Linked DNA regions of Kluyveromyces lactis. Each later gene encodes a partner of the first gene's protein in a complex. Links are inferred from orthologs where the notes say so. Each region holds a gene or a part of one and is shown in the gene's direction. Other genes may lie near its edges. The genes, in order: UME6, RPD3, SAP30, ASH1, SDS3, KLLA0_E19933g and RXT3.

Region 1 (4,100 bases):
GTAATCAACGACAAAGTGTTCTTACATTACAATATCAGTTACGAATGGGGATTCGCAATCGGATTTAGTTTCGCATTCTGGGCAGGCGTTGAATTATACAAATATGGTAAGAGACATTACTTCGGCATCAAGGACAGAGTCGACAATCCAGAAAATGATTTAGAAAAGAGAGCAGTGCACGATCCGTTCGAACAATACACTACTTCCTTCTCCAGAATGAATACTTTTCACAACGACGAGAAGACTATCTGAAAGTTGAAAAGATGCAGGAATAAGCGGTGCTTTTTAATTATTTTTAATCTACAACTTATCTGGAACAAATGTATATTAGCAAATCCATATGATAAGTATCATCAATAATTTAATTTTTATAAATACCATACTACATTAACAAAAGTAGTTTATCTCACTTTAGATCGATTTTACTCTAGTTTCCCGTCAAAACTCTTTATATTTGGCCTGAATCGATTAAGACTTTGGGCCCAAAAGTTACTAAGCCGGAACAACTGATTATGACCGGGTAATACATGGTCTTTACTCTTTTCAAATCTTTTTCTCCCTTTCCAGCGTGTAAAATAGTTTCAAGACAATTTTCGTCAAGCGATACGCCCAATGGATAAGAAAAGTCAAAAACAGTCAAAAATTATTCCCACGGGTAATTAAAGAAACCCACCATCTTAGCGGGCTACATATGTAATCAGCTACTGTATAACAGCAGTGCACCTTACAAACTTCAGATATCCTACTAAAAACAAAAAACCGAGAAGCAAAGCAAGGTCAATGAGCTTGCTTAGATGGCTAGTACCATTGCCGTTCCCTTTTTTCTTCCCTTTTCTCCCTTCTGATTCGTTTTCTGCGCTTGTTTTCCTGTAGTTTTTCGCTCAAAAAAAGGCAAAAAAACGCCTAATTGAATCTCGTTCGAAAATCACATCCAAGGCGTTGTTTATTTATTTATATAAATCGAATTTTACAAATGTTTGATTTCTCTTACTTGTTTTAGTTTATTGTAATATACTCTACTTTATTTTTTTATTCTTTATGAATGCTTACATTCATTGAAACCGCGATCCTCTATGAATTGACAGGCTTCTGGTTCAATCTCTCTTACTAATTACGAACCCGCTCATTCCGTAGCTCCTGGCTTAATACCTGATTGTGTTTAGTTTCAAGAGTCTTATAAGGGGGTGAGGAGAGAATCGGTTTTTTTTTAACTCAAGAGTAACACAAACTCTTGGCGCTAAGCGCTGGCCTGAAACTTAGACTGAAGTTTTCTTCAAATATAAAAGAACCTTCGGAATAGATGGTTCGTCAGAAAAGTCAAATTGAGCGGCGTGCTGTGAACTCTGTTCGTTTATCCTCCTCTTCTCCGTTATCTTCCAAAATGCATGTGCCGGAGAAAAGTACCCCGCCAAGTTACCCTGACGAACATTCAAAAACAAACGCCGCCCAAGTGGAGCTAACCGCCCAGCGGGAAGTGACCAAAATTGATGAAAAACAAGAAAACGAAAAACAACAACGAGTGAAAACAGGTGAAAAACAAACGCTGCTGCGACATACACCAAGGCTCAACCCCTTGATACATTTAGCGATGTCTCCTACTGCTGCTCCGAATAATACGCCTGTGGAGGAAAACGATCTACAACAGGGTGTTATCTCTCCTTCACGTGGAGAGCCTTCCGGGATTCCAGGGACAAAGCCTCAAACCGAGGTTTTGCCGCCACTTCCTCGTTACGGAGAGACTAAGCAAGAGGAAAAGGAGGTTGCCGTGAAATTTGAGAAAAAAACGGGTACCCAAGACTTTGATCACGTGGTTTCGGCTGATAAACAACATGTTCCAAAAATAAATACGCGTACACCATCTATCTGTATATCCAGTAGCAATACGCTGCCGAACACTGGGAAAGGGAGTAGCACCTTATATCAAGACTCGCGCACTCCCGTGTATTTGTTCAACGATAGGATAGACTCTGGTCAAGTGAGTGAAACAGAAACACTTCACGATTCAAGAAAGGGCGAGGAAATTCAAGCTGATACTGGTAGTCATCAAAATGAACGCATGCTGCGACAAAGCGGACATAGACTCGAAGGCAAAAAGGGCAATGGCAGAAACATTGGTAATCCTGGAACTGTTTCACATGACGGTGCGAGCGGTATTGCTGCGCCTTCATCTTCGCCGATCCTTGAGACCTCGAGCGCTTCCCGTGATAGAGATCTGCATGCCACAGGAAGCGCCATGACTCCAAAAAGACTACATTTTGATTGTTCCACAGAGAAAATAGATCCGGGTGCAGGCATCTCATCAATTTCAGCTCAAAAGATCAATATTACTTCATTACTAAACTCGAGATCGACAGCAGAATCAATCTCGCCCCCTCCATCTACGGCAGGAAATGAATACACTATTCATTTCCCATCCTCAGCAGCGTCAAATCCTCCTCACTCCACAGGATCCTTCCTACATCCAAAATATCAAAATCAAAACCCGCAGGTCTCATCTACCATGAATAGAATTGTTTCTCCAACCTATATGTTCGAAACCGATCAGGTTCATGGTCCTTTCAGTAATTCTAGTAGTGGCAGTAATAGTAGTGGCAGTAATAACGGTAGCACAGCAAACAGTAATAACAATAATACACATATTACCTACCAACCGAAGTATTTCAACACAAAATTCGATGAGTTAAGGAATAGAGTGTTATTAGGATCCTCAAACGCTTTTCCGAAAGTAGAGTCGGCTAACAAGTATCCATATAATAGCACAATGGTCAACCCAACTTTGAATGATCAAGATTCCAACGTGGATGCGGAAGCTGCCGCAATCATTTCTCAGATGAGGTCTTCCCCATTACCCCCATTTAACGAACAGTTCGGCTCTGGCAATCATGATAGCCGACCGAATTCGTCATTATCAAACCAATCTCTCCAAAATAATGCCTTTAATCCGTTCTCCAAAAGACTTTTACCTAAGCCAGTGCTTCGGGTTAACCAACGACCATTGACTGGCAACCAGGATGAACTCGTTATAATGGAAGAAGAGGATGATGATGATGACGGGTATGGCGATGGTGATTACGAAATGACCGAAGGGGGATCAAAGGCACCAGAAACTGTTGCATGGAATAAGAATGGAAAAAGAAGATTGTCCAGAAGAAGATCAGGCCCACCACATTATCAATCTCAATTGACAGGAATTAAAAATGAGATTGGAGACCATCCAGATACTACGGCATACCCCGCTGCGGATATCTCGGAAAATGGTATGCATATAAAAAGATCAAGGTCTTCATCATTATCTACTGAACACACTGGATTATTGTCACCGAATTCCAAACATGCCAAACAACTGAAGTTTAAAGAATCTAATTACAATAATGATGTTTCTAACGAGCAAATGGTCAAATCAAGTGATCAAATAAAGAAAAGAAATGCTACGGGGGCACGGTCAAGAACTGGCTGCTGGATCTGTAGATTGCGTAAGAAGAAATGTACAGAAGAGAAACCGCAATGCCAGAACTGCGTGAGGTTGCACCTCGAATGCTTTTACGACATAGTAAAACCCGATTTTATTTCAGATCCTGCTAAAAAGGCAGCAAAACTCGAAGAAATTAAAAAGAAAACAAAAGAAGCTAAGAGACAAGCAATGAAAAAGAAGACTTGGTTATAATCAAAGAGACAATCATCTCTAAATTCTTCTCAGACACACATCTGTATCATCAGGTGTTCTCAGTTTTTTTACAATAATGGACAACCCCTCAAAACTCTATAGATACCATTTTTGACTGAACTTTTATGATTATGTTCACCTCCCAATATATAATATACTCAGATATATTTGCTGTAATAAATGTGTAGACTGACTTTAATATACAATGTATGAATTGTACGTATTTTAAGCACAAAGCTTAGGGAATAGTATGGAAATGATTTCAAAAGACAACGTAGTTCAATATTTAAACTTTATGCTGCTTTCAAAGGAGGATTGAGATGATATGAGGATCAACAAAATAAAATAAGATAAAATAAAAGAACATACAAAATATAGACACATACATTACAACCAAAATTTGGAATAATTAAGATAAAATTTAAAAAAGTGTCGT
Region 2 (3,243 bases), on another chromosome or scaffold:
CATTGCAGACAGTATCTGTTCAATCGGCTGGTTTGACTCCAATGGATATACGATCAATCGTCAAAGCTGTCAAGTACAAATGTTACCAACGTCTAAAGCAGAACGACCTTCTAATTGATATGACCGATATAACTGCAGTCATAAATATTGCAAGAGATAGATTCTCAGACTCTATCGGAGCTCCTAAAATTCCTAACGTGACTTGGGATGATATTGGTGGGATGGATGTGGTCAAAGGAGAAATCATGGATACCATAGATATGCCACTCAAGCACCCTGAACTATTTTCATCTGGTATGAAAAAGAGAAGTGGTATTCTTTTCTATGGACCTCCTGGGACTGGTAAAACCTTGTTAGCGAAGGCAATTGCGTCTAACTTCTCTTTAAATTTTTTCAGTGTTAAAGGGCCTGAACTTCTTAACATGTACATTGGTGAATCCGAGGCAAATGTTAGACGTGTCTTCCAGAAAGCAAGAGATGCTAAGCCATGTGTCATTTTTTTCGATGAACTTGATTCCGTGGCACCAAAGAGAGGAAATCAGGGAGATTCTGGGGGTGTTATGGATCGTATTGTGTCTCAACTTTTGGCAGAACTAGACGGAATGAGTTCAGGAGGAGACGGAGTGTTCGTAATTGGAGCTACGAATAGGCCAGATCTTCTTGATGAAGCATTATTACGTCCCGGTAGGTTTGACAAGATGTTATATTTGGGGATATCAGATACCGATAAAAAACAGGCAAATATCATCAAGGCTTTGACGAGAAAGTTCACACTAGAATCTGGTATCGATATACTAGATATTGCCAAAAAATGTCCGTTCAACTATACAGGTGCAGATTTCTACGCATTGTGTTCTGATGCCCTTTTAAACGCTATGACTAGAGTTGCTGGTGAAGTTGATGAAAAGTGGGAGAAGTATAACATGGAAAATAAAAAGAATATATCATTGAGGTATTGGTTTGATAACGTGGCAAACGAGAATGACTTGAAGGTCGTGGTAAAATTACAAGACTTCGAGCTTGCTCAACAGAATCTAATACCAAGTGTTTCTGAGGATGAATTAAGACATTACTTGAGATTAAAGAGTAGTTTCGAATCTCAATGATCGTTAATAAGTAATCATATCGAATATTATTATAAATCATATATAACAAATATATTAACTCATCCATGCAGGATGATCTGGTCAGTAAAAAGTTGGTCTACTTCTTAATCTTCTTCAACTCGTGTAACATGACAGATCTCTTTAAGGCTTTTCTTCTTTCTTTAGCTGCTTGGAAATTCTATATTGATGGAGACGGTGAAAAATGAAGGTAGTGATTTCTATTAAAACCTTGATTTATGTCGAAAACATACCAAGAAAGCTATATAAACAAGAGGTGAAAAATTTGTACCGGCTCTCCAACTTAGCGAAACTATTAAGATTAATTGTGCGTGGACGGTATGGTATACGAAGCTAAACCTTTTGACCCGATAACGGTGAAGGCTAACGAGAAGAAGCGAGTTGCATACTTTTATGATGCTGATGTGGGAAACTATGCTTATGGTGCAGGACATCCTATGAAACCACATAGAATAAGAATGACACATTCGTTGATTATGAATTACGGTTTGTATAAGAAGATGGAAATTTACAGGGCTAAACCTGCAACGAAACAGGAGATGTGTCAGTTCCATACCGATGAATATATTGATTTCTTGTCTCGAGTCACTCCAGATAATTTAGATATGTTCCAAAAGGAGAGTGTGAAATTCAACGTTGGAGACGATTGTCCTGTGTTTGATGGTTTGTACGAGTACTGTAGTATATCTGGAGGTGGTTCTATGGAGGGTGCAGCCAGATTAAACCGAGGCAAATGTGATGTTGCCATTAACTATGCTGGTGGTTTACATCATGCCAAAAAATCGGAAGCTTCAGGGTTCTGTTACTTGAACGATATAGTGCTAGGTATCATCGAGTTGTTAAGGTACCATCCTCGTGTTCTTTATATTGATATTGATGTGCATCACGGTGATGGTGTAGAAGAAGCTTTTTATACTACGGATCGAGTTATGACATGTTCTTTCCATAAATATGGGGAATTCTTCCCAGGTACTGGTGAATTGAGAGATACTGGTGTCGGGAAAGGTAAATACTATGCTGTGAATGTCCCATTAAGGGACGGTATTGACGATGCCACTTACAAATCGGTATTTGAACCAGTCATAGGTAAAATTATGGAATGGTACCAACCTTCTGCCGTGGTACTCCAATGCGGTGGTGACTCTTTATCCGGCGATCGTTTAGGTTGTTTCAACCTTTCAATGAAGGGTCACGCAAACTGTGTCAACTACATGAAATCGTTCGGTGTTCCTCTCATGATTGTTGGTGGTGGTGGTTATACAATGCGAAACGTGGCTCGTACATGGGCTTTCGAAACGGGTATTCTGAATAATGTGATTTTGGATGAAGAACTTCCTTACAACGATTACTACGAATATTATGGCCCTGATTACAAATTGGATGTCAGACCATCTAATATGTATAACGTCAATACACCGGAGTATTTGGATAAAGTGCTACTTAATATTTTCAGCAATCTAGAGCATACTAAATATGCCCCAAGCGTTCAACTCAATCACGTTCCTCGCGATGCGGAGGACAAAGGTGACGCCGAAGAAGATACTGCAGCTGCGAAGGACACTAGAGGAGGTTCTCAGTATGCAAGAGACATAACCATTGAGAATGCAACCGAATTTTAGCCAGAAAACAAAAACAGATGATCTTTTATTATTTACTGTATTATAATATATTTACACTTAGAAGTACTCTTCCGCATTTGCTACAGGTTTTATCGTCACTCACCTAATCACTGTTATATGTCATTCATCCGACGGTTAATATGATGCTGAATATACAGATTGGTGCCCAAGTTAGAATTGATCTAATGAGGTCAATTTTCTATCGTGTTTTCCCTCCGTCAGTATCGGTATTTGCCATAATTTTCCACGTAATACTATTCCAGTTCAGATATGACTTACATCTGCACTTCGGTTGTCAGTAACAAATCTATATATGAAAAAGATCAAAAAATGAAAATCCAGAAGCGAATGGATATTTAAAAGTTAAGATCAGATAGGTCGATTACACAAGAATAAAGCTTATCCTATTTCATATAGAGATATATATTATCTGATAGTAGATACGTTGTATCTAAACATTCAAATCACAGTTAGTAAATTTTGCAATGGCTGTTAAAGGT
Region 3 (2,326 bases), on another chromosome or scaffold:
ATTCAAAAAGTATACCTTTGGAACATATTGGTGAATTGGGACAATTAAGGCAATTGCTATGGAATTAGGGTTCCAGTCTGCTATCAGGTGAGTGGTAATTGGGCTTGGTTTTGTGGGGCAAGAATGGTTCCATGTCTTGTCGATGCACATTGCCATGTGTCTACTATGGTGGATGCTGTAGGATGCGATAAGATCAGAAGCAATTTGGACCTGGCCCTTGCCGGAACGGCAAGTGATGTCCAACGGTGTGTCATGAGCACGAATGTGTACGACTGGGAATTACTGGAGCCCCTGCTGCTAATGAAACAACTGGATGATGAAGGTCCCGGAATCAATGTTAGTCTTGGTGTGCATCCCTGGTATTGCCATTTATATCAGTTAGATAGGTCGCTTTCTAAGGTAGGGCATTATAGGAATTGTCTTAAATGTAAAGACGAGGTACAGTTGATGGAATTGGTAGAGCAATTGCCGGATCCAGTAGATTTGTCAAGTTACTTGTCAGATGAGCGGGTTTCTCGTGTGGGTTGTATTGGCGAGATCGGATTGGACAAGGTTTTTCGGTTGCCTCAGAATGGCTTTCTCGTGAGCAATAATGGGACATCGTTGGAAAGAAGTAGTTTAAGCAATGTAAGGGTAGAGTTTGCACATCAGATCCAGGTATTTGAAACGTTATTAAAAGTTGCAAAGGGAAGGGGGTTGCCGGTTTCGATCCATTCTGTGAAATGTCAAGGTACTACTTTTGATATTTGCAAGAGAATATTATTGGATAGCGAGGTGAACATATGTTTGCACTCGTTTACTGGGACATTGGATACGGTGCGGCTATGGCTGGCGAATTTCCCACATGAACGGCTTTTCTTTAGCGTTTCGTGTTGGATCAACTTGAAAGACTGGGATTCTGGTGCTGAGCTGTTGAAGAGTTTGCCCTTGCAGTGTATTTTGACAGAGACAGATTGTTCTGTGGATTCAGTGTCGTCGCAAGAGCAACGACAGATGCTAGATTCCGTTCTTGACGCCATTTCAAGAGCTCACGGCATTTCCAGGACTAAGGCGATGGACACGGTATTACAAAACTTCAATAGATTCTTACGTAAATGAGATGAGACGCAGGGACTGCATGTATGTTCTTTGTTTAATGTAGTCATCCTCTATATCTAATTCCAAGTTATTCCCACTTATCTAAGAAAAAAAAGTGTCTTAAGTACAAAATTTTGATCTTTTTGAACATTTGTCCAGGTGGTAAAGGGCATTACCATGTACTGCTCCATACCATCTCAGGTGTCAAATAGAGTGGGTGCTGTACAGTCACAAGGATCTTACACGACATGGCACCAAGGGGACACAATAACTCAAATTCAGAGTCCGAATCTAAGGGCAAATCATCGAACAATGCAACTTCAGGTGCATCGACCAGGACCAGTGTGAAACAAAGACTCTCGAGTGCTCAACAGCAATACTTGAAGGACTTGAACAAGAAACATATACATAACAATCATCCGAAGAATGAGCCGCTCCCAAATCCGATGGATTTCGAACAATACTCCGATGAATTTTTAAGGCGGTATAAGGATAGGTTCCAATTGAAATCTCCAGATAATCTATCAATACAAGGGTACCTTCTAGGATCAAGGATTGGGAAACATACTTACTCGGCGAAACGAAACCAGAAAAATGTACCAGATGCAAGGGTTACGAAGCAGGAGCTTGCGAAAGGTGTCAGGGAACACTTCGATAACTATACCGTTCGAGAAGCGGAATGCCTTCCTCAGTTTATTTACAAAGTACAAAATCAGAAAAAGAAGTTCAGAATGGAGTTTAAGGGATGAAGCGGTGGTGTTGCATAGCTCACTTCCATCTTGGGCATGTAATTCGACATCAGCCTAATGGCTTCATCTATTTGTAACATATATGAATAATATAGAACGTAATAATCAAGGATATCAACGGAAATCTATTTGGAACTAGCGTTCTATACGCTGATTATATGCACTGCAGTGAAAAGGACAGATTGCACAGCAAGCTGTACACACGTCCTTCTGCTCTTTAACATTTTTTTCCTTTACAGGTCGTTTACACAATTTTTCTCTTTAATAAGAAATGAATGATATTAATTATCATTCACAAGTAAAAACTGTAACAAGACAAGTATTTGCTCCATAACCAGGCATACTGTGTTTTCCTGTCTCCAGAATAATTAATATCACAGCAATATATTGAGAGCAGACAGAAATTATTGTGTTAGATAGAGTATCTGAATTAAAACTTTAATCATGGCGGATCAAAGTTTCACATTATTTATCATTTTGGCTATTGCCGGTTATATTGC
Region 4 (3,024 bases), on another chromosome or scaffold:
TTGATAATATCAGTTGATGATGCTTTAAAGAGATTTGCTGATTTTTATTGAAGGCTTTGATAACGTTTACCTTAATACTATTAATTTCAACATCGATCAAAAATTTTATTATTAAATCTATGGAAAGAAGTCTTCTTCTCTCCAAATTTCATCTTGGGTAAATTCAATTGACTAGCTTCATCAAATGCGGGTAACAAACAATATATGTACGCGTTGTAATTTCCTTGATGATTTTAGGTAGACCCTGATTTCAAAATCTCTCAAATGAACACATGCAAACACAACTCTAAATGCTGATCGACTCGAGCAAATATCTAGCGTACATATTGTAGAGTCGGATTTTTCTTTTCCTTATGTCTCTTTTGCCAGCACTTTTGTCAAGCTGCCTCGCGCACTAGTATTCTTTTTTTTTTAAATTCTATTTTCTGCTTGCATATGTGAAGAAAGTGTAAACATGAAAAACCCAGCATCGAAATGTAAATCCATAATACCAGCCGAACAGATACCAAGACTTGGTGTGGAAAAATAAACATAAACAGAGATCTGAAAGCTAAGTGAACATCGCTGCGCGATTCCATTACATGATATATGATTTTGTAAACAATGGTTGACTAGTTTTGATCAATTTTATAGCCGGTAAGAGAAAAAGAAGTATATCTTTTGTCTTTCCCTTTAGTTTTGCAGGCATAGAACAAGTATGAATTCTTTTGCCAAATCGAAAAAAATTCGGTAAACCCTCTGCGGGTTTGGCGCAGGTATTCTTTGTTTACACTTTTTTCTGTTTCATCGATATATGGATTCCTACTAAGTTTGCGGGACTGAACTGATTGAAATTGGTTCAGTATCCCTAGAGTATATAAACCAGAATCCAAATCTGGGTTTCCATGGGACAATTCTTTCAGATCGATTGGAAAGATAATCCCCTTATTTTTACTGAATTAGGTATCGTGGTTGATATATGACAGTTCTAGCTAATCCTTATAAGGCCTGATATATTTCTTCACTCTTCAAACACTGGTCCTGACAACTGTGTTACACATCAATAATTTACTTCAATTAACACCGTAACTTGTTCCCCATTATAGAGCATCGAATCAGCTCATTTCCCATCGCTTCGACCTTTTCACTATTCAAGCTAACGATGTCCACTATTTCGAACCCTTTACCATTCACCAATCCTCACGCCGAGCAAAAGTTCTACGCAAGAAGAAAAAGATCCTTTGATGATCTATTATTGCCATCTTTAAGTACCAGTTTGAACGCCCCAATGACATTAGAAGAATCGCCATATTTCTTTGACGCCCGGAAAAAATCTAAAACGGCGCCAGCCTCACCTTCTGGATTCGTACAAATCACGCCTACTACATCACCAGTGTCCGCTTCATCTAATTCTTCCATATGGAGACAGACAGTATGTGAGGGAAGCAGCATTAGCAGCAACAGCAGTAACAATATTGGAAAATCAACTCAACTGCCTTCCTGTTCACAACTACAGAATGAGGTTGCGCAACCCTCGCAACCAGCACTACAACCATTAAAGCATCTAAAGTTATTGGCACATCCTAAAATACAAGAGTTTTCGTACCTCTATCCAGACACTTGTGCCTCCACGCCTCTATGGAGGCAAAACTTAACAGAGTGGTGTAAGGAAACTAATTACACTCAGTACCAAAACATTACAGATCAGGTATCTCAAGCTAATCCAAGAGCTGGTAATTTTACTCATGGATTAAATATTTTAGCCGATGCTGCTAGAATATCATCGATCAATACTTCACCAGATGAATTCTATCAACTTTCAAACACTTCAAGCTCCAGCAAAGTACTGGTAACCCCACCAAGTAGTCCTCCCAGACAATTCACTTCTATGATCAGCGAATCATTAGTTAAAGCGGTAAAGAAGAACCGTTCCTCAAAACATAAGAAGACCAACAGTTTTAAAGCAAGAAAACTGAAGAAGATGCTGGATCAACGCATATTGCTTACATATGAAGACAAATTCGAATCACAAAAGTCGGTATTTAAGGCTAATCCTGCACCACCAAAGACCCCTCCACAAAAGAAGATTACACTATCCACAACTCCAAAATCTCTTCAATCTCCCCAACAGAGATTTCATCCTATTGTGATCAACAGCGTGGAGGATTTCGGCGAAAAGACTTCGGCGAACTCCAACTCAGAAGACGACACCGACCAAGAGCTAGTCCAAACATCTCCCAAAAGCTCTCCAACACAAAGGCGTAACTCTCATAGATTTTGCGTTTCATGTCACATTACAGATTCCCCGTGTTGGAGACCTTCTTGGTCTAAAAGCAAACAAGATCAGCTTTGTAATTCTTGTGGGCTCCGTTATAAGAAGACCCATACAAGATGCACCAATGAAACTTGCCGTAAAATACCTTCAAAAGGTGAATTGACACTTATGAAATCAAACAAGCCAGTTTCGATTGAGGACGCTGACGGAAATACTGATTACAAAATAGCATGTTTGTTCTGCGGTCACGCCGTTGCTACTGACGAATAGGGCAGAAAAGCCTGATAAAAAAACCAACCTTCCTTGCATAATTAACTGATCCCAACTTTCAACGGAGCTTTTTACCTTCTAATATTGCATTTATAAATACTTACTTCTCTTTTCCCTTGTTTGTCCGGATAATATTTCCACTATTCCCTTTCCCTTCAATTCTAACTAATTTGATTAATATAATGATATAATCTAAACATATATTCTTCCTATAATTTATCTAATGTAGCGTAAATTAATATTTTCACACTTCTGATCTTTGAGCATCAATATCATAGGTTGATATTGATGACTGGCACTTAGTAGCTGCTTCAGACCTCTTCATAAAGTGAATGATTTTTTCTTTCTTTTCATTAATATGCCATTTACGTCAAGATCGATGTATGTTCGCTATCTGAAAATGAAAAAAAAAAAAAAAAAAAAAAAAAAAAACTTCATCAAAAATATAAATAACTGGAACCGTCAATATCTCATCACTTGCTTTCGTTTTGCTTTAATAT
Region 5 (2,610 bases), on another chromosome or scaffold:
CCTTAAAACCTGACAGTATATCACCACCGAAGTCAGACAGCTTGACACCACATTTCCTACTATTATTCATCGCATTGAAACCAGGCGCAACCTTCGACCCTCGAGAATTGTCAGAATCTTCCGGATTTAACAGTACATTCGCACCGATGTCACTGGGACTATCGACATTCAAATAATCGTCAATATCCATACTGTTCTCTCAGTCAAAAAAAAAAACAACAAAAACAACTCGGAATACAAGTCTCAAAGTCAGGTAATATTATATCCAAAGGGGAAACCAATATGTTTTTCGAAAACTCTGTTCTCTGTTCTTTCTTTCCTATGAACTGGAAAGACTGAAAAGAAGAGCTTTATAAAATCGACACACTTATAACGTCGAAATTTAAAGTATTAGAATATTAGGGGTAGTTCAAAGCACCGCAAAATTCAGCGATTTATCTGTACTAATAACACACAACACTGATGTGTATCACAGGCTGCGTACCACTGTTTTATCTCTGAATTAGTCTCACTATTTCACTTCTATTCACCTAACAAAAAAAAAATCACATCGTCATTATATTATAACTTAACTTACTTTTTTTTTTTTTGGGAATTTTCCCTTTTCTTTACCAAAATTGCCAAAAGTTCAAAGCCTTTAAAAACTTTCAACACACTTAAAGCCTGCACTTATACCGGCCAGCTTTAAGCTTTTCTTATCTGAAGCTGCGACTTTTCTGCGGGGAAATGAGATGGAAAACGGAACATAAAAAATTTAAAAAAGAAAATGGTGATACTTGCAATGAATAAATCAGTGTTATGGGAGCATTGAGGTTCGAACGGCAGAAGCATGGCATTTTCTTGTTTGTCTCATTTGATTATTATTATTTTTTTTTTTTTTTTTTTAAATCAGAGCAGCTTAAGCAGTTGTACTTTGTACATACTTTATACATAATTTGTACATAATTTGTACCCAGCTCATACGTTGCACGATACATGTAACGAGCAGCACATTAACTCGTTGTGTTAACGTTTTCAATTGTAATTTTTTATTCTGTGTTAGTAATTTCACAGGATAATTGGTAAGAAACGATACCGGAGAGTTTTTCTGGTTTCACTTTAACAATTATATCAGCTTTTGCAGTAAATACAGCTTCTCCCCCCGAGGAACATGGATGAAGTACAATATTCTATGATGAGCAGCGGTGTGAAGAAAGGTCAAGGAGCGAAACAGAATGGGGGTGCTATTCCCGCAGGTGTTGGGCAGGATTTGAGTAGGAAGGATAAGAAGCGATTACAGTTTGAAGGGAAAGTGGGAAAGATAAGAACGTCGTTTGCAAAGGATAAAGATGTGCATTATAGGGATAGGTTGACTCTGTTACAGACAGATTTAACGACGCTGCATCAGGGGAATAACCCTGAATTTCTGAGGAAATTGAGGGATCTTGAAGAAGATAGGGATTTGGAATTAGTTAGGCTCAGGCTTTTCGAAGAGTACCGGATTTACAGGTCCAAAGTAGAGTTCCAAGAAGATATTGAAAAAGCCAAGCAAGAACATGAAAGGATGATCAAATTGTGCAAAGAGATGTTGTATGAATCCCTACAGAAAACTATCAAGAAATTGCAAGAGGAACGGCTACTTCTGGATGTAGCAAACACACAGTCTTATTCGATGGATTATTCTCGAGGGAAATTCCAGAAGCAGACTAGAAGCTCAACTCAAAATTCAGCCAATTTTTCGGCTTGGGATTCGTCACCGAACGATGTCAGCCAAACAGAAAGTGGCAATGAGACTGGTAATACTACCGATAGGAGGTCATTGCGTAGGCGTGCTGCTACTAATCAGAATAGAGCTCAAACTCCTGCAAACATTACACCTGCAAACGGAAGCGGGAAATCAAGCAATACTAATAGCGATGCAGAGTCGATGCAATATCTGAGCGATTCATCAGAATTACAGGCTTTATTGTTCGGAAAGGAAAAGGAAAAGGAAAAGAAGATGGGTCGAGGTCACCAAAGACTTTCGACAAAAAGCGCTCCTATTCTTCAATCTTTAACTCCGGATGAGGTTACTGATGATATATCTTTGATAAGAAAGCTAACGGGCCAAGTACCAGCCCCATTCAAATGAATATCAATAGTTGGATTTATCTTGTAAATCTGGTCTGGGGTACAAGTGAAGAAACTAAAATGTTACCAGTTTTTTTTTTCTGTCATCCAATATTTCCCAAACTGCTTAGGTCCCAAATACTATCCGTTATTGTCAGTCTTATACCTTGTATTTTTAGTGTATCTCATGTGTAATACTACTACTTTATAATACTGCGTATTTTTTAATGTATGCACAAAAAAGTGAACAGAATCTGAATTTTGATATTTCAGTTATCTATTGACGATGATTTATGCGCAATACGCGATCCATTTATAAACATAAACTCAACAGTCGATTAAAGTACCAAGAATATTAGTATAAAACCTCATTCTTTCATCTTCAACTATTGGGACGTACACATTCATCTTTTCCACTTTTTTTTGCATGATTACTGATAGTTTCCATCTTATCTCATGAGGAATAGAACCAGAAAGCTACTGATAGTGATAACAATTGCACTTCTAATTTGTGTTGGTGTA
Region 6 (3,394 bases), on another chromosome or scaffold:
CTTTGAACATGTGATCAGAGATATTGAACCCAATGTCAAAGTACCTTATCTGTTTCAAACCTGTCATCTTCTGAAGTGCTCTGGACATATACAGTGTAGAAGCTGTTTCACAGTGATATACAATGGCCATAATGAACCGAAAATATGCCAAACAAACAGGAAGTCCTTTTATCGTTCTGAAGTGGGATGAGTTGCATATCCTCTTGCGCATCGTGAGATGGCTTGTACAGAATTTTCGAGTGTTACCCGGATGTAAGGTTAAGCTCCACTCTGTGACTCAAGTCCGCATGGAAACATTCACAGACCGTACATGCCACACGATGTCCAAAAATATCGTGTAATGGGTATCTTCCGAAGCCTATCCAATGGCCTACCAACGCACTTATCACCTCCCGGAGTGCATCCCCCTACCTCCCATAAGCTTATTTTGACACATTCTACACACTACTGCAATAGCTTTCCGAAGGCGTAGACTAACGCACCAGTCCCAAACCAACCGGGGAACCCCATTTGCAAGAAGTACACAGACGAAAAAAACAAAAAAAGACACGTGAACGGTAAGATACAGGACCCTCACTCAGTATACTCACATCACATCTCATCTCTTCTCATCTCACCTGTCACCTCATCTCATCGCTGTCACACTGAAAAAATTCGAAATTTTTTTTTTTTCCAACTCATCGCGACGAAGAAAAAGCCACTAAACTCGACCTCATCGAGTCTTGTCATTTAACTTGACACTCTTTGTTTCCTAGGCAGAAACCTGTCTTTATTGGTTCAGTACTCAGTCTGACCTCAGTGATATCGACTCAGAGCATAACTGTCAATACGTTAGTTTATTGTTAGCCGATTTTGGAAGGAATTTAAGGCGATTTTTTGTTGTTTAAAAAGAAAAATCGTTCATAAACTACTGTCGGTTTTATTTTGGACCGTTCAAAATTTTTATTCCCTCTCGTTGTGTTAATGAGAACAGGTCTTTGAGCTAGAGAATTAGAGCTATTAGAAAGCTGTTACTGTCGTTTTGATTACATTTCGAAAATTTTTGAGCTGAATTTTGGTTTTACTGCTCTAAATAGTGGATTTTGTTTTGGTTGCTGATACTTTACAATTATAACTCACAATATTTTTAAGTGAAAGGGTAGATGACTGCACCAAAAAACGTTTCCAGTAGGACTCCGAGTTCGTGGGAACCTCAGGACGATGTCTTGTTGCGACACTTGAAAGAGGTGAAAAGACTGGGATGGAAGGATATTGCTCAGTATTTTACGAATAGAACTCCTAACGCGTGCCAATTTCGGTGGAGAAGGTTAAAATCTGGCAGTTTAAAGACGGTGAAGTCGCCAGAGGAGGAGGATGAGGAGGAGGATGAGTTGTTAAATGTGACTGTTCCAGTACTTGCTCCAATGGCTGTTTCTGCAGGACCTACGTTGAGCGCGGAATCTTTAAACACTGGGTCCTCTTCGACGGCGAAGAAGAATACGGCAAAGAAGTCTAGTTCTACGGGACCGATGCCCATGCCCATGCCAATTCCGACCTCAAAAGTTACCAATAGTGCCGTTCTTTCGTCACCTCATGGGTTGAATGGTAGTGGGAGTGCTACTAATAATAACAATAGCAACATGGGTGTTTTTTCGTCATCTGCTGCTACAGCTGGATCTAGTGTCCTATCGGTAAACGGACTTGCACATTCCGGATCGTTGTCCAAGTCTCCGTTCTCTACTGCTTCTCCTGCTCCTCATGGGAAATTTATAAAGCCCAGGTCTTCCTCTCATTCACAGGACGCCCCACCAAATATGCCCCATTTCAATGATCAAGAGGAAAATTTTGGTTTTATTCCAAAAGTCTTCATCAAGAGTAGACGTGGTTCCGCGGTCGTTGTGAATAACACTCCACAATCGAACTTGCCAAACCTGGCCAGTACGAAATCAAGGAAAAATTCCTTCTCCTCGCGCTCCAGACGTTCCTCTTTCAACGTAGCATCCGACAGGCATTTCATCCCAATGTCTTCTAACGGATCTTCTAGAAGATCTTCCGTTGTTGTCATGCCTTCATCAACTTTGCCCGCATCTTCCGCGAATCCAAGGAGAGAAAGCTTCACGACGAATCCATCTATGTCTAGAAGGAACTCTGTCTCTCAGTTTAGACGTGAGTCTATGCAAGCAGGTTTCATTGATATGCCCATAAAACAAAGCTCTCAACCCCCTCCTTCATCCGTATGTGCCGTTGGATCATTCAATGGCTTTGCAAAACCTTGGTCTGGCGATGAGGATAAGTTGTTGGTAGAAAAACGTCAAAGGTACCACTTGTCCATTGATGAGCTTTCAATCTTGTTACCTCATAGATCAGAACAAGAGATCCAATGGAGAATGGATTCGTTACATATAACGCCTAGCGATGCAGTTAGTACTGCTAGTCCTTCCGCCAATGTTAATCAATCGAGTTCTTCAGATGAGGTCCACTCTACTTACTCACCAGATACTGCCGTAGAGGAGCATGACGACATTGACGATGTTGATGTTGATGTAGAGATTGTTGGCCGCATGGAAGACTCTATTGCCCCAACTCAGCTAAGAGATGAATCTCCTACGTTTTCTCAAACATCTTCGACTGGTTCTTCCGCTCGTGAGAGATCGCCAGTGTTTTCACCGGACGCTCATTCCTTGAGAGACCATTCTCCAACTATTTCTGATGTGAACAACTCATCTTTTTATGGCAATAGGATGCCTGCCAGCGTACCGAAGCAAATTCTTCAAACACAGGCTAGTAATGAACAAACGCCCCAGTTCACTCCGAATTCATCGCAATCTCCTCAACCACCACAAAACCATCGACTACCGCAAGTGCCAACTCAGCCACTGCCTAGTTTGAATACGATATTCAAGCACATTGTTTGATGATAAACTGTCTGTATTAATACCATTATCAAGAACCAAAAACTTAAAAAACTACTTTACAAACCACTTTCAGACATGTATGAACATGAACCCCGAAGTGTATCGTGGCGCCAGTCGCTGCTACTTCAATCATCATTGTCGTTGATTTACTATCACATAAACGCACACACTTTCCTGATTATGACCCCATTGTACAAGTACTATAACTACAATAGAACATCAATAATACTGTTACAGTGTTATCTTTATGCCAAATCATTTGAACTGTACCATATGGTTATTTTTTGTCATAATAATGTCCCTATTCAGTTTATTATAGCAAAGGGACACGGGCTGCTCCTTTTGCATAAACACTTAAATGAAAAGTGCGTACTATTACGTTGTTTTGTTATTTACATTTTACTGCTATATCAATGATGGCATTAATTTTCGCTATTCTTACAATCATATACATATATACATGCATATATTAGATATTACACTATTATCAGTTTTCTTCT
Region 7 (2,910 bases), on another chromosome or scaffold:
AGTAAAAAATTGGATCTCATATTATTCGAATTACCAAATGGTGGGAGCAATTGGAAAATACCTGTTCAAGATACTGTACTGTTAAGATGTTGGAAAAAAAAAGGAACATTGATCATAAGTAAAATACAGTGCGTATTCACCGATAATGTCGTCTCTTAATCGCCTGTTTCACTCGGATAAAAATCAATCATCAATATTCAAATTATTTCACATTGATAAACAAATAACCCATCTTTTCAACATTATATTCCAGAAACAAACTTAGCGTTTTCACAAGGACGTATAGCATGGTGTATATTTTCTCCACATTCTAATGATATCAAAATAAACTAAATAGACTTCATCTCCGGTCTTTAATATCCACATATTCTCCCAAAGTATCTCCATTGTGTGCAAACTTACATGCAATGTTGCATTCAAATACAGTATATGATCTTTAAACTCCCCTTCTCATTGCTCTTATCCACTTTGGTATCTATTGTGTAATTTCACTTCGAAATTTTGTTTCATCATTGGTAAAAGCTAACATACTCTTTTGTGCATGTTGATGGTGTATTCACGAGTAACGACGTCTTTCAAACCGGCCATTTTGTATTCGATAGTTCCTCAGTGTACTGCTTCGTTCTTCTCTATTAAGAACCAACACACAAATCAAATAAACAGTATCGTAAACGCCTATTAACATTCAGAAACCTCTAATTTCACCACTTACAATATAGCTTATTTCTCAGTATCCAAATAATATTTCATCGAAAATCAACACTTTCTCTCTGGTACTGGAGGGAATAGACTAGGCACTAGGCTGGAGCAAGGCAGCCAGTGGTGGGTGAAACGCCTAGTATGTCCAAACCTGGCTGGGTGGCTGCCCAGGCTGGTTCCAGTAGACGGAGGAATGCCTGCACTCTGGACAAGGAATGGTTGCCGGCTGGGGTGTAGAGCTAGAAAGGTGAATTGGCATCCTAGGCAGAGTGGGTAAACCTGTCATCGGAGGCCGCCGGGCGTTGTCAAGCGAGGTTCCTCAGGCCTGTATCATTGCTTCCCACACACAACATGTCCTAGAAATGTTTGTGTCATTCGAAGTGCGAAATGCGGAATGAAAGTTTCCTATTATAGAAAATGAAAACATAAAACTATTTTACATCAGAGTGCACGGATGTTACAGTGGAACAAATGAAGCCTCACGAATGTACGGATGTTATAACAGTCCCGTATATAGACTATTATGGTCAAACTGGTGATGAATGTTGTTAATGAAAGAATCTCCATCTGTACATCGAATACACAGTGAATTCATAATATAAATCGAGAGAAATTTACTCCTGAGCAGGGTCGATTGATACATTATTACAAGCTGAGAACTTCGCAGTGGCTCAATTGATTAGTTGCCGATTGTATAGCTGGTAAAACTTTGATTTATTCAACAGCTTTCAGCCACTGTTTGAATATGAGTGATGAGTTGTACAGAAAAACCCAAAACAGGATATACAGCATGCAAGAGACACTGCTGAATAGTTCTAGGGAGTCCAAACAGGCCCGAGATCAGGATACGGGTAAAATCGGATCATCATCATCAGAAGAAGCAGTTGCTGCACCGGCTAATACACAGAATGTTGCAGATGAAAGTTCCCAAACAGGGGAACCTGAAAACAACACTACCCTTGAAACTGCAGCTCCAGACAGCAAACCTGAAGATGACGAAGACGAAATAGACGTAAACTCTAAATCTGTCCTTGAATATACAGAGAAGAATTACGCACTACAGCGGCGCCCTTTGGCCACCTTGGAGTACGACTCCATGAGAGTTGGTGTTTTTCCTGGGGATCCGAAATTGGAAGCCCTTCCATTCCCTTATAATTTCAAGACCATCAGATCTCCGAGACCTTTTATTCCAAGGATGTCTCATAACCATATCAACTCAATCCTTACAATACAGATCGATTCCATATATTTACAACAAGTGGCCCGTAGTGAGAACATACGGTACCAAAACCGAGAGATATGGGGCACAGATATATATACCGACGATTCGGATATTATATTAGTACTTCAACACTGTGGAGTTTTGCCATTTTCTGAACCATTGGATCAAAACAGCAATGGCAAGCCATCCAATGTTCACTCTTTGAAAACTAAATTGAGAAGAACTCCTACAAATATGTCGGACCAAAATAGTGTGACAGGAGCAATCCCAGAACGTGAAATTCCATTTGCGATCAAAGTGGACATCCTAATGTTACCACCTCTTCAAGGTTATGCGTCATCCACGAGAAATAATATCACATCCAGAGAATGGACAGGGCAAGTCCATGACGGTTTGTCGTTCGGAATTTTCCATGTTGATATTGTGGTGATGGACAACACATTAAATGAGATACAACAATCTGACAAGACTAAGTCACTAAAGTGGTAACGCTGCATCAAGAAAAAGGCCAGCAGCCGGTATCTTCCGTCCCCCAATATATTTTCTTTCGTCATGTGTCTCGTACAAGTGACGAGAAAGTTGACTTAAATCGGTTATGTGCAAGCCGTGCGTACTGCATCGATGCGTGCCGAAAAGAATATGTACATTTGTATATGTAAAAGCGTTGTGTATAGATTACTCAACAATGTAATATCATAATAATAACTACCATTATCTCCACTGCCATGCAAACCTTCTAAACATAGAGGTCTGATATATATGCTATTTTATACGTCCCTGCAACCTTCTTTTAAATTGGTTGAAGGTTCCTTCTATTCTTTTAGTGACATTCAATAAGATTAATAATTGGGAAAAAGATTTGAAAAGACCGACCATAAGAGAAGTGTTCGAGACGTTAACGGCTACAAAGTGACCCATAAGACCCTGAATCTTGTTTCTTGGTATACTTAAAGATTAGGTTAGAGTAAGGGTCTCACTGATTCTAACTT

What was found.
Region 2: UME6 (region 1) and RPD3 share a complex: the UniProt entries of both Saccharomyces cerevisiae proteins name them as parts of the RPD3C(L) complex. The link is inferred for Kluyveromyces lactis from reciprocal best matches to the Saccharomyces cerevisiae genes UME6 and RPD3.
Region 3: UME6 (region 1) and SAP30 share a complex: the UniProt entries of both Saccharomyces cerevisiae proteins name them as parts of the RPD3C(L) complex. The link is inferred for Kluyveromyces lactis from reciprocal best matches to the Saccharomyces cerevisiae genes UME6 and SAP30.
Region 4: UME6 (region 1) and ASH1 share a complex: the UniProt entries of both Saccharomyces cerevisiae proteins name them as parts of the RPD3C(L) complex. The link is inferred for Kluyveromyces lactis from reciprocal best matches to the Saccharomyces cerevisiae genes UME6 and ASH1.
Region 5: UME6 (region 1) and SDS3 share a complex: the UniProt entries of both Saccharomyces cerevisiae proteins name them as parts of the RPD3C(L) complex. The link is inferred for Kluyveromyces lactis from reciprocal best matches to the Saccharomyces cerevisiae genes UME6 and SDS3.
Region 6: UME6 (region 1) and KLLA0_E19933g share a complex: the UniProt entries of both Saccharomyces cerevisiae proteins name them as parts of the RPD3C(L) complex. The link is inferred for Kluyveromyces lactis from reciprocal best matches to the Saccharomyces cerevisiae genes UME6 and DOT6.
Region 7: UME6 (region 1) and RXT3 share a complex: the UniProt entries of both Saccharomyces cerevisiae proteins name them as parts of the RPD3C(L) complex. The link is inferred for Kluyveromyces lactis from reciprocal best matches to the Saccharomyces cerevisiae genes UME6 and RXT3.

The regions. Positions count from the first base shown.
Region 1 is NC_006042.1:1,922,848-1,926,947, forward strand, and holds UME6 (DNA-binding transcriptional regulator UME6), read left to right. Parts: upstream 1-1,300; coding exon 1,301-3,664; downstream 3,665-4,100. Other genes in the region: KLLA0_F20658g (uncharacterized protein), read left to right, coding at 1-252. UniProt on the Saccharomyces cerevisiae protein: Component of the RPD3C(L) histone deacetylase complex (HDAC) responsible for the deacetylation of lysine residues on the N-terminal part of the core histones (H2A, H2B, H3 and H4).
Region 2 is NC_006041.1:185,677-188,919, reverse strand, and holds RPD3 (histone deacetylase RPD3), read left to right. Parts: upstream 1-1,444; coding exon 1,445-2,743; downstream 2,744-3,243. Other genes in the region: PEX6 (AAA family ATPase peroxin 6), read left to right, coding at 1-1,106; lumazine synthase RIB4, read left to right, coding at 3,229-3,243. UniProt on the Saccharomyces cerevisiae protein: Catalytic component of the RPD3 histone deacetylase (HDAC) complexes RPD3C(L) and RPD3C(S) responsible for the deacetylation of lysine residues on the N-terminal part of the core histones (H2A, H2B, H3 and H4).
Region 3 is NC_006041.1:986,123-988,448, reverse strand, and holds SAP30 (Sap30p), read left to right. Parts: upstream 1-1,325; coding exon 1,326-1,826; downstream 1,827-2,326. Other genes in the region: KLLA0_E11243g (putative endodeoxyribonuclease), read left to right, coding at 124-1,098; CUE1 (Cue1p), read left to right, coding at 2,271-2,326. UniProt on the Saccharomyces cerevisiae protein: Component of the RPD3C(L) histone deacetylase complex (HDAC) responsible for the deacetylation of lysine residues on the N-terminal part of the core histones (H2A, H2B, H3 and H4).
Region 4 is NC_006038.1:232,412-235,435, forward strand, and holds ASH1 (DNA-binding transcription repressor ASH1), read left to right. Parts: upstream 1-1,141; coding exon 1,142-2,524; downstream 2,525-3,024. UniProt on the Saccharomyces cerevisiae protein: Component of the RPD3C(L) histone deacetylase complex (HDAC). Responsible for the deacetylation of lysine residues on the N-terminal part of the core histones (H2A, H2B, H3 and H4).
Region 5 is NC_006041.1:774,585-777,194, reverse strand, and holds SDS3 (Sds3p), read left to right. Parts: upstream 1-1,150; coding exon 1,151-2,110; downstream 2,111-2,610. Other genes in the region: DNA-binding transcription factor CRZ1, read right to left, coding at 1-190; KTR5 (putative mannosyltransferase), read left to right, coding at 2,545-2,610. UniProt on the Saccharomyces cerevisiae protein: Component of the RPD3C(L) histone deacetylase complex (HDAC) responsible for the deacetylation of lysine residues on the N-terminal part of the core histones (H2A, H2B, H3 and H4).
Region 6 is NC_006041.1:1,774,034-1,777,427, reverse strand, and holds KLLA0_E19933g (SANT/Myb-like DNA-binding domain-containing protein), read left to right. Parts: upstream 1-1,142; coding exon 1,143-2,894; downstream 2,895-3,394. Other genes in the region: KLLA0_E19955g (3'-5'-exodeoxyribonuclease), read right to left, coding at 1-211. UniProt on the Saccharomyces cerevisiae protein: Component of the RPD3 histone deacetylase complex RPD3C(L) responsible for the deacetylation of lysine residues on the N-terminal part of the core histones (H2A, H2B, H3 and H4).
Region 7 is NC_006038.1:261,955-264,864, reverse strand, and holds RXT3 (Rxt3p), read left to right. Parts: upstream 1-1,444; coding exon 1,445-2,410; downstream 2,411-2,910. Other genes in the region: RPL31B (60S ribosomal protein eL31), read right to left, coding at 532-588. UniProt on the Saccharomyces cerevisiae protein: Component of the RPD3C(L) histone deacetylase complex (HDAC) responsible for the deacetylation of lysine residues on the N-terminal part of the core histones (H2A, H2B, H3 and H4).